Canis lupus familiaris: one gene and its partner. Each later gene encodes a partner of the first gene's protein in a complex. Links are inferred from orthologs where the notes say so. Each region holds a gene or a part of one and is shown on either strand. Other genes may lie near its edges.

Evidence for each region. The genes of interacting proteins can lie anywhere in the genome.
Region 2: the proteins of RAD18 (region 1) and UBE2B are in contact, whole or in part, in a crystal structure (PDB 2YBF), measured with the Homo sapiens proteins. The link is inferred for Canis lupus familiaris from reciprocal best matches to the Homo sapiens genes RAD18 and UBE2B. Residues at the interface, in NP_064550.3 of Homo sapiens: Tyr342, Arg343, Lys344, Lys345, His346, Lys347, Glu349, Phe350, Leu353, Val354, Gln356, Ala357, Arg358, Lys359, Gly360, Tyr361; in NP_003328.1 of Homo sapiens: Pro20, Val22, Gly23, Val24, Ser25, Gly26, Ala27, Ser29, Glu30, Gln35, Asn37, Ala38, Val39, Phe41, Gly42, Pro43, Glu44, Glu49, Asp50, Lys54, Leu55, Val56, Leu73, Ser74, Asp151, Ser152.

The regions. Positions count from the first base shown.
Region 1 is NC_049241.1:9,230,885-9,235,153, forward strand, and holds the start of RAD18 (E3 ubiquitin-protein ligase RAD18), read left to right. Parts: upstream 1-1,465; 5' UTR 1,466-1,573; coding exon 1,574-1,624; intron 1,625-2,290; exon of another isoform or gene 2,291-2,365; intron 2,366-4,269. UniProt on the Homo sapiens protein: E3 ubiquitin-protein ligase involved in postreplication repair of UV-damaged DNA. Postreplication repair functions in gap-filling of a daughter strand on replication of damaged DNA.
Region 2 is NC_049232.1:22,531,287-22,535,397, forward strand, and holds the start of UBE2B (ubiquitin-conjugating enzyme E2 B), read left to right. Parts: upstream 1-1,187; 5' UTR 1,188-1,331; intron 1,332-1,945; exon of another isoform or gene 1,946-2,067; intron 2,068-2,496; 5' UTR 2,497-2,521; coding exon 2,522-2,565; intron 2,566-4,111. Other genes in the region: uncharacterized protein LOC119876780, read left to right, coding at 1-217, 1,101-1,155. UniProt on the Homo sapiens protein: E2 ubiquitin-conjugating enzyme that accepts ubiquitin from the ubiquitin-activating enzyme E1 and transfers it to a E3 ubiquitin-protein ligase. In vitro catalyzes 'Lys-11'-, as well as 'Lys-48'- and 'Lys-63'-linked polyubiquitination.

The sequences.
Region 1 (4,269 bases):
AAACACTGCAACAATGCTTTACATGCAAGCACGTAATGAATGTCAGTTATTATTGCAATAAGTATTAAAAGTCCTTTTTGTCCAAATGCTGTTAATATTATTATTGTTCAATGAATATTTGGGCATAGGTTGGGAAAAATCAATTGGGTGCCAGAGTTTCTTGTGAAGACAGTTCAAAGAAGTGAAGCCTTAACCTCTCTGAGCCTCAGCGTCTTTATCTGTATTATGGCAACAACTTTACCTCTGCCTGTTTCAGAGGGTAGCTCAAGTGCTTGAACAATGGTAAGTGCTTTAAAAAAAAAAAGTATTTGTTGAATGAATGAATGCCTGGACCATGTGGGGTACCAGTGGCAAGTAGCAGGGGTCTCCCTTGAGCAATGTAACTAAACTTACTGGCTATGAGACCTGATGCAATGGAGACCCTCATAAGGCAGTGGGTGAGTGCTGAGTCAAATACACAGACTGGGTGGTGTGCTGGTCAGCTTCACATTTGCATAATGGGCATTTTTTTTTCTTTTTTTTTTTTGGTAACAGGCATTCTTACACTGGTTGGTGAGAGTATAAATGTATAAATGTATTAGTATAAATCAGCCTTTTTGAAAAATCATTTAGTGCTAGTTATCATAATTTTAAAAGAGTACACAAATTCACAAATTGAGCCGGTAATTCCATTGATAGGAAATCATCCCCCAGATATCTTGGCCCAAACGCGCCAAGGTTCATATAGTGTGTTCATTGCAACTCTTTGCAATAATGGAAAACTGGAAATAACCTAAATGTCCTACAGTATGGGACCAGGTTAATAAATTATGATACATCTATGTTATAGACTACGTGGCTATTGAAAAGAATGAGGTAAATATGTACATCATTAATATGGAGAGGTCTTAAGATGTATAGTTAAATAAATAGAAAACTCAAGTTGACAAAGCTATGTATTTAATGTAATGATATGGGGGGGGGAGCAATTATTTGTATATCTGCACAGGAAATATCTGAAAGGCAACATGCCAGAGTTAAGGTGGTTTATCCCTGCAGAAAAGTAAAATAAATTAAAATTTTATCTTGAGAAAAGAAAGAACTATTCAAAGTCCAGAGGCCCTTATTTGTGACTCTACTCGTGTGCAAAACCTGATGTGCGCTTTATTTTTTTATTATTATTTTTTATTTATTTTTTTCGCTTTTTTTTTTTAAGATTTTATTTATTCATGAGAGACAGAGAGAGAAGCAGGCTCCGTGCAGGGAGCCTGACGTGGGACTCGAGGCCGGGTCTCCAGGATCACACCCCGGAACGAAGGCAGGGGGGCCAAACCGCTGAGCCACCTTAGGGAAGCTCGATGTGTGCTTTTTAACCGCTTAAAGGCTCGGAGAGGCCAAGGGAAGCTCCGCGCGTGCGCAGTGAGAGCGTCTTTGGCTGCGCTCCGCCCACGTACTACAACTTCCAGCAGGCTCCGCGCTCGCCTCAGGCGCGTCGCTGGCTGATGCTGTCATGCGTAGCGCGGGGAATTTCGAGTAGCGGCGGAGCGCGGGAGGCCAGTGGGTGCCGAGCCCCCCAGCTTCCTCAGGGCAGACCATGGACTCCCTAGTCGAGTCTCGGTGGCCTCCAGGCCTGGCGGTCATGAAGGTGAGTGCTCGGGGGGAGGTTGGGTGCACCGGGGTGTGCGCCGGAGGCCAGCCCCGCCTTGAGAGGGCAAGAGGAGGAGACGGGCGCCGCGAGCTGGGCCGGTTGCCGCTCAGCGACCCGGTGGTTTGGGCCTCGGTTTCCTGTTGCTGCGAAGTGGCGGGGTCCGGCCTCGGTCCCTTGTGGGGGGCACCGGCGCCGAGCCGTTCAGCCACGAGAGTAGCAATGACCTCGAGGGGAACGCCCCCCCCCCCCCCCGCAGTGACAGCGGCGGTGGCTGACGGGGGCGCACCTGCTCTGCCTGCTGCCTCGTCTCCCATCCCCTAGCGCTGGCTTGCCCTGGCGCCTCCCGGACGTGCCCCAACGCCTGACACTCGTGCGCCTCCCTCTGAAACGAGACCAGGGCTCAGGCTCTGCACCAGCCTTTCATCTCATTCCATCCTTTCCCTTCAGTGACATTGGTTTGTTTTTGGCCAAGGCATCCCAGGCCGGGTTACAGTGGCCGTGAGCCCTGGGTTCCTGCTGCGCTGCGGCAGCAGCAAACACACACGCTGGGCCGTGCGAGCTTAAGCATCGGTCGCTTGCTTTTTTTCCCCCCTCGTGCTCCGTAATTGTGTATTTCTGTTTGCGTGCAAGGTCACTTTCTGGTTCTGTTCCTCATTTTTGTAGATTTGGGGATTACGGTACCTGTCCCACTGACGCTGAAGACTGACTTTGAGGAGTAAGTGAAGGGATTTGGGGAAGGTTAGTAGAAGAATAAGGCGTTTCTTCTTGCCATCACCAGGGTCATCCACAGTGCTTGAGGACTTGAGATGGCCCCGTGGTGAAAAGCTGACGTTGTGGAAGCATCTAGGAAACATGTCGTTTTGGAGTTGTGACCTTGGGGTCAAGGTACCGTGGAGGAGGGACGCCTCGGTGGCTCAGCGGTTCAGCGCCTGCCTTTGACCCAGGGCCTGATCCTGGAGTCCCAGGATCGAGTTTCACATCGGGCTCCCTGCATGGAGCCTGCTTCTCCCTCTGCCTGTGTCTCTGCCTCTCTCTCTCTCATGAGTAAATAGTCTTTTTTTTTTTTTTTTTTAAGATTTTATTTATTTATTCATGATTGTCACACACAGAGAGAGAGAGAGGCAGAGACACAGGCAGAGGGAGAAGCAGGCTCCATGCAGGGAGCCCGACGTGGGACTCGATCCCAGGTCTCCAAGATCGTGCCCTGGGCCAAAGGCAGGCACCAAACCCCTGCACCACCCAGGGATCCCATAGATAGTGTCTTTAAAAAAAAAAAAAAAAAAAAAAAAAAAAAGTACGGTGGAGGAGCACATAGATTTGAGATCCAGTGGTCTTGGTTTAAATCTAGCCGCTGACTCTTATTTAACTGTGTGATCTTGAGTGGGTTACTTAACCTCTCTGAGCCAGAATTTCCTCAACTATAAAGTGGAGACAAAGAGAAATAGTTTATGGGATTGGTTAAATGAGTTGATGTGTGTAGATAGGGATCTTGTCTGGCTTATTATTCACTATGCTTACCAGTGCCTGACACATAGAACATGCTCAGAGATTATCTAATTGGTTGAAGGTTCTAAGTATCTGGAAGGTAGTAAGCATTCAGTTAATATGTCTTTATTATTATCTTTTTTTTTTTTTTTTTTTTTTATTTATTTATTTTTTTTTATTATCATTTTTTAAAAAAGATTTTATTTATTCATGAGAGAGAGAGGGGCAGAGACACAGCAGAGCGAGAAGCAGGCTCCATGCAGGGAGCCAGATGTGGGACTTGATCCCGGGTCTCCAGGATCACGCCCTGGGCTGAAGCAGGGCTAAACCCCTGGGCCACCTGGGCTGCCCCTCTATTATTATCATTAGTACTTAACATGCAGTAAGTATTTCTTTCCCCCATTTTTATTTGTTATTTGGAAGATTGAATTGGATAAAGGAAGTCAAAGCTCTGCGGCTTGTAAAGCTTCTTGGTTTGTAGATTTAAGCTTATTTTACCACGACTTCCACAGTGTTCTTTAGAGGCAGATTCCATGTACTTAGAGGCAGGATTTGATGTCTCACCACAGCATTGAATATAGGGTTCAGCACCCAAGAGTGTGCAGAGATGGAGTTGATTGAGCCCATATTAGAATCATGGTGGAAAGCCAGCCCCTGCTAGTGTTTTCTATTTTTCTAATAGCTCTGTATTTTATTTTTACCGTTTGTACTTATTAATACTCTTTGTTTTGCCCACCTCTCACCTTCCTAGCAACCACAAGTTCTCTGTATTTAAGAGTCTGGCTTTTTTGTTTGTTTTGTTTTTTAGATTCCACATAAAAGTGAAATGGTATGGTATTTGCCTTTCTGTCAGACTTACTCACTTGGCATACATAATACCCTCTAGGTCCATCCGTGTTGTCACAAATGGCAAGATCTTATTCTTTTTTATGGCTGAGTAATATTACATTGTATATATATATGTACCACATCTTCTCTATGCAACCACTGACATTGGTTGCTTCCCTATCTTGGCTATTGTAAATAATGCTGCAATAAACATATTGCATATGTCTTTTCAAATTGGTGTTTTCATTTTCTTTGGGTAAATACTTTGTAGTGGAATTACTGGATCATGTAATATTTCTGTTTTTAACTTTTTGAACCTCCATAGTGTT
Region 2 (4,111 bases), on another chromosome or scaffold:
CCCCGCCGGCCTGGCTCCGCGCAGACCCGGCTGAACAACCGGACACCGAGGCTTCCGAGCTGGCGAGCGCGGCTAGCTTCCGGCAGCCCGCTACCATGGCAACGGCGCCGCAGACCCCCCGCGCTCGGGACCTACTGCGCAAGACAGGAACATCCGCCCGGCCCGGCCCGGCCCGACCCGGAAGAGAAAATCATAAAGGGTTGAAAATGAGTTGCCGGTGGGCTTAGGCTCAGGGAAAGCTTTCTGGGGGTCGGGGTGGGGATTATATGGGTTGAGACCAACTCACAAGGTTGGTTTTGAGTTTTGAGCAGAGGTGAGGGGAGGATCCACATTTTACTGCCCCGAGAGTCTGTCTCCTAGAGAAGGGTGGAGGCTTGCTCCCAGGCCAAAGAACAACATGCCGCAGGTGCTGGGTCCTAAAAGGATGGCTTGAGTCGTGAAATAGAGACACATTGTAAAACAAGTCTTCCAAGGAAGTCTTGTGTAATTACGGTCGTCTAAGTTACCTATTTATATTAATATTCCATAGACCTGAGTTCGACCACAGGGGTCGGCATTCATCCTTAAGACGGGGTTAAGACGGTTCTTAATGTTTCTTGAACACTTGCTATATGCTTAGAAATTTTTCGAACTCGTAGTACTCCTTTTTAGAAACGCCCTCCTTGAGAAAACAAATCGACATAAAAGGACACAGCAAAAGGGGGATAAACATTATCTAATTGCTTAAAAACTAGACATGGGGTTCTGCTGGCCTGACAGCCTCCATACACTGTGAGATTCCAGAACAATTACACATTGCTACCTAATGATCCAATAGGGATATTTTTTGAAGATTTTCTTTGGCATTTTACTGCATACATACTGACCCGTATGTCTTCATCCTTAGCTATGGTGAGAATTAGGATCGCTACTGTGGGAGGCAAAAGATGAGAATATTCAGCTTTTAACTTTCAGAATTTCATTTGTGGATGCATCGCAGAACCTATCAAGAGTTAGGTTTGGCTTACTTGATCACCAATGAAGTTATAAAAGCAAAAGATAGAATTCAGGGTTTTGAGAAAAGGAGACAGCAAGAAAGTGAGGGAAATTAACGCTTTCAGTTTCCAGGAAACTATGGGCAACTTGGTGCAACGCTCCCACTATGCCTTGGGCTGAAGAATTACCCAGAAGGATATAAGGTGTTCAGAGTCCTCCAGACCAGCAAAGCCCTGAGGCCAGGAATCAAAGGCAATGGAAGGAGGGAACTCAACACCTCTGAGCAACCTGGTGGACATCTCAGACCCATCTGCACCTTACTTGCTGGTGTAGGAAACCTGAAATGAGTTATCCAGGTTAGCTATATAACTCCCACCCACGTCTGCAAAATCTCTTCCCCACATCCAAGTTTTTAGGCTTTCTTGACAACCAGCCACCCTTCTAAATGCTTTGCGATCTCATCTCCATGTACCCTATCTTAGCCAGTCATGGACTTTGACACATTTTGACACCAATCCTCAAATGAGAGGAGGCTTATGTTAAAATAAAATTCTGTAATTCCATAGAGATAGTCAACAAACCTTAAGACAATCTCTATACCATTTTTTTTTTGTCTTCGGAATTTCCAACCCTGCAAACCCCATTGTGATGCACATACAGGCTCTTTGGTGGCCTCATGGAAGCATTTCGGGGAATTTTAGTTGGTGTGGGCCTCAACATTTCAATGCTGGGCTAATTATGAAAAACAGAGGTTCCCTCACTCTGCCCCAGGTACCAGATTTGATAAGCCACTGAATCAACCAGAAAAGATTTTAAGTCCGTATTACTTTTAGCTGTTTTTAAAACTTAAGCAAAACAAGCTTTTGCTTCCGCCACGACCGCAGACCCTTTTCATGAAACTGGAGGGAAAACTTACTAAAGACCCATACCCGCCCTCAACCCCATAAACTTAACTACCCGCTCCATAGACCTGAGACTCAGATTCAGACGACACTTTCACGTGATCCGTTCCAACCTCGTCATAGGGACACGTGGTTCTAGATACTTCGTCCCCTCCCCCTCAGGGGTGGATTGTTGACAACGCCGCCGGCGGTCACGTGACCTTACGTCATCCCACCTCCTTTCCCTGAAATCTCTGGCCCCGGATGCGGCTCTCTGTCCCCACCCGGTCGAGCTTAAACTACTAAAAGGGGGAGGCATAGGATGGTGTTTCGGTTTCGGGGTCTCTTAATCCACAACCTCCAATCAGAGAACAGAGAGGACTAATTTATCTATTATATTAGGAAGCCAAAATTGGTAGAGCCCTGCCGCAGAGCTCCCAAAACGGGTCTAGACGCCCCGTGCCCTTCTCCCCCAACCCCCTCACCCCGTGGTACTGGCGGAGGGCGGAGGGATCTGGAGGCGGCGGAGGGAGACGTCATTGCAGGGTTGTTTGTGCAGCCTCGGCGGCGGCGGTGACCCACAGTGATTCGGCCGCCGCGCCGGGGGGTGGGGGGGCTGCGCGGGACTCTTTTCTTTCAGACTGACCGCGGGGCAGCTGGGGAGCATGTCGACTCCGGCCCGGAGGAGGCTCATGCGGGATTTCAAGCGGTAAGGGCGCTCACCTCCGCCTGGATGACGGCTCCTCCCCACAGCTATGGGGCTGCAGGGCGGGGATCCGGGACACCTTCCTCTCCTAACCCTAAGAGGGCCTCCTCTGGGCCCAGGGGTCCCGAAGGAAGCCCAGCCCCAGTCCCGGTTCGCACTCCTTCATCCTTGCTCACTCTGCCGACGTAAGAAATTTCGGTACCCCTCCCCCAAAAGTAAAAAGATGGCTATGGTTTGTCCTAGGGTTCCCCGCTGCCCACTTGGGTCAGCCCCCCGACGTCTAGTCCTAGAGCTCAAGCTTCATTTCCCCTTCCTCTGTCCCCCCAAAGCAGACCCTTGCAGAATCATATTCCCTGCTTGCTGCACCAGTTTTGCTGGATGGCTCTGCGGTCTTAGCTGAGGGGCAGGGTTGGGATGAAAAGCGCCCCCCCCCCCCCATTCTCTCTGCAGCGAGGGTGGGGTCTGCAGCGCGAGGTCCGGGGGTTATTAACCCATCCTCGGAAACCCGACTCTCCCTCGCCGCCCGAAAGGACCTTGAGAACTGGCTTAGAGAGCTGGGACTCGGGCTGGGAGCCCGGGCTGGGCTGCCAGGGCCTTCTGGAACTCAGCTCTGTGGCCTGGTGTCTAAAGCCCTATCTATAGCCTCCAAAGTCTGGAAAAATGCCTTCCTTGAGACTGGCGCTAACCTGATACTCGCTCGGCCTCCTTTTGTAAAATAGGGTTTTGTTAGGAGGTGTTGGGGTTAGTAAGGAGGAAGTGACCTTTTTTTCAGTTTACCTTTGGATACTTGGAAGTACGGAGGCCGATAAAAATAAGAAAACTTACCATTACGATCCACTGCACGTTTTGTGGGGGTTTTGTTGTTTTCTTGGGGAGACCTGCTCATAGAAACTTGGGTTAGCTGTCCAGGAAGCAACCTTTTAACTTCGCCATTATAAAGCCATAGGTGAGGCATTTGGAAGCCATTGTTTTAGGCTTTGGGCAGTTTATCATTGAATATATTCCTAATGTACTTTCAGTGGGCTAGAAGCAGCATAAATCCATTAAGGCTTCTGGTTATCGAGGCTTGATGTGTTTGAGGTTGACTGGAGAGAACTATTTTTATGTAGACTAATTTCAAAGTATCTATGTGACAATCACTACATATTGATATATGTATATAAAATGCTATATTTGTTTTAAAAGTTTGTCTTCTGAAGCTTAAAATCAAATTTCACGTTAGCTCCGAAGAGTGAAATCCAAATAATAAAACTTGCAGTTCGTGTCCATTGTTACTCTGGTTTATTACTGCCTTTCTCTGTTAATTCTGAATTGAACACATGGCACCTTTGGTAGTTTTCCAAGGGGCTTCAGGTTACAAAAATTTGATTATGACAAGTGTTGGAAGGTAGCTTTGTATCGAGTCTCTTGATAAAAGAGGTAGATTTAGCTGTAGCGCAGATCTTTAAAATAGCGACTGATGAAAAAACCTAACTGAAGCTTGATTACTTTAAAAGCTACTGCTAATTGAAGCAAATAGGAGAAGGCTACTCTCCTAAAACTAGTTTCC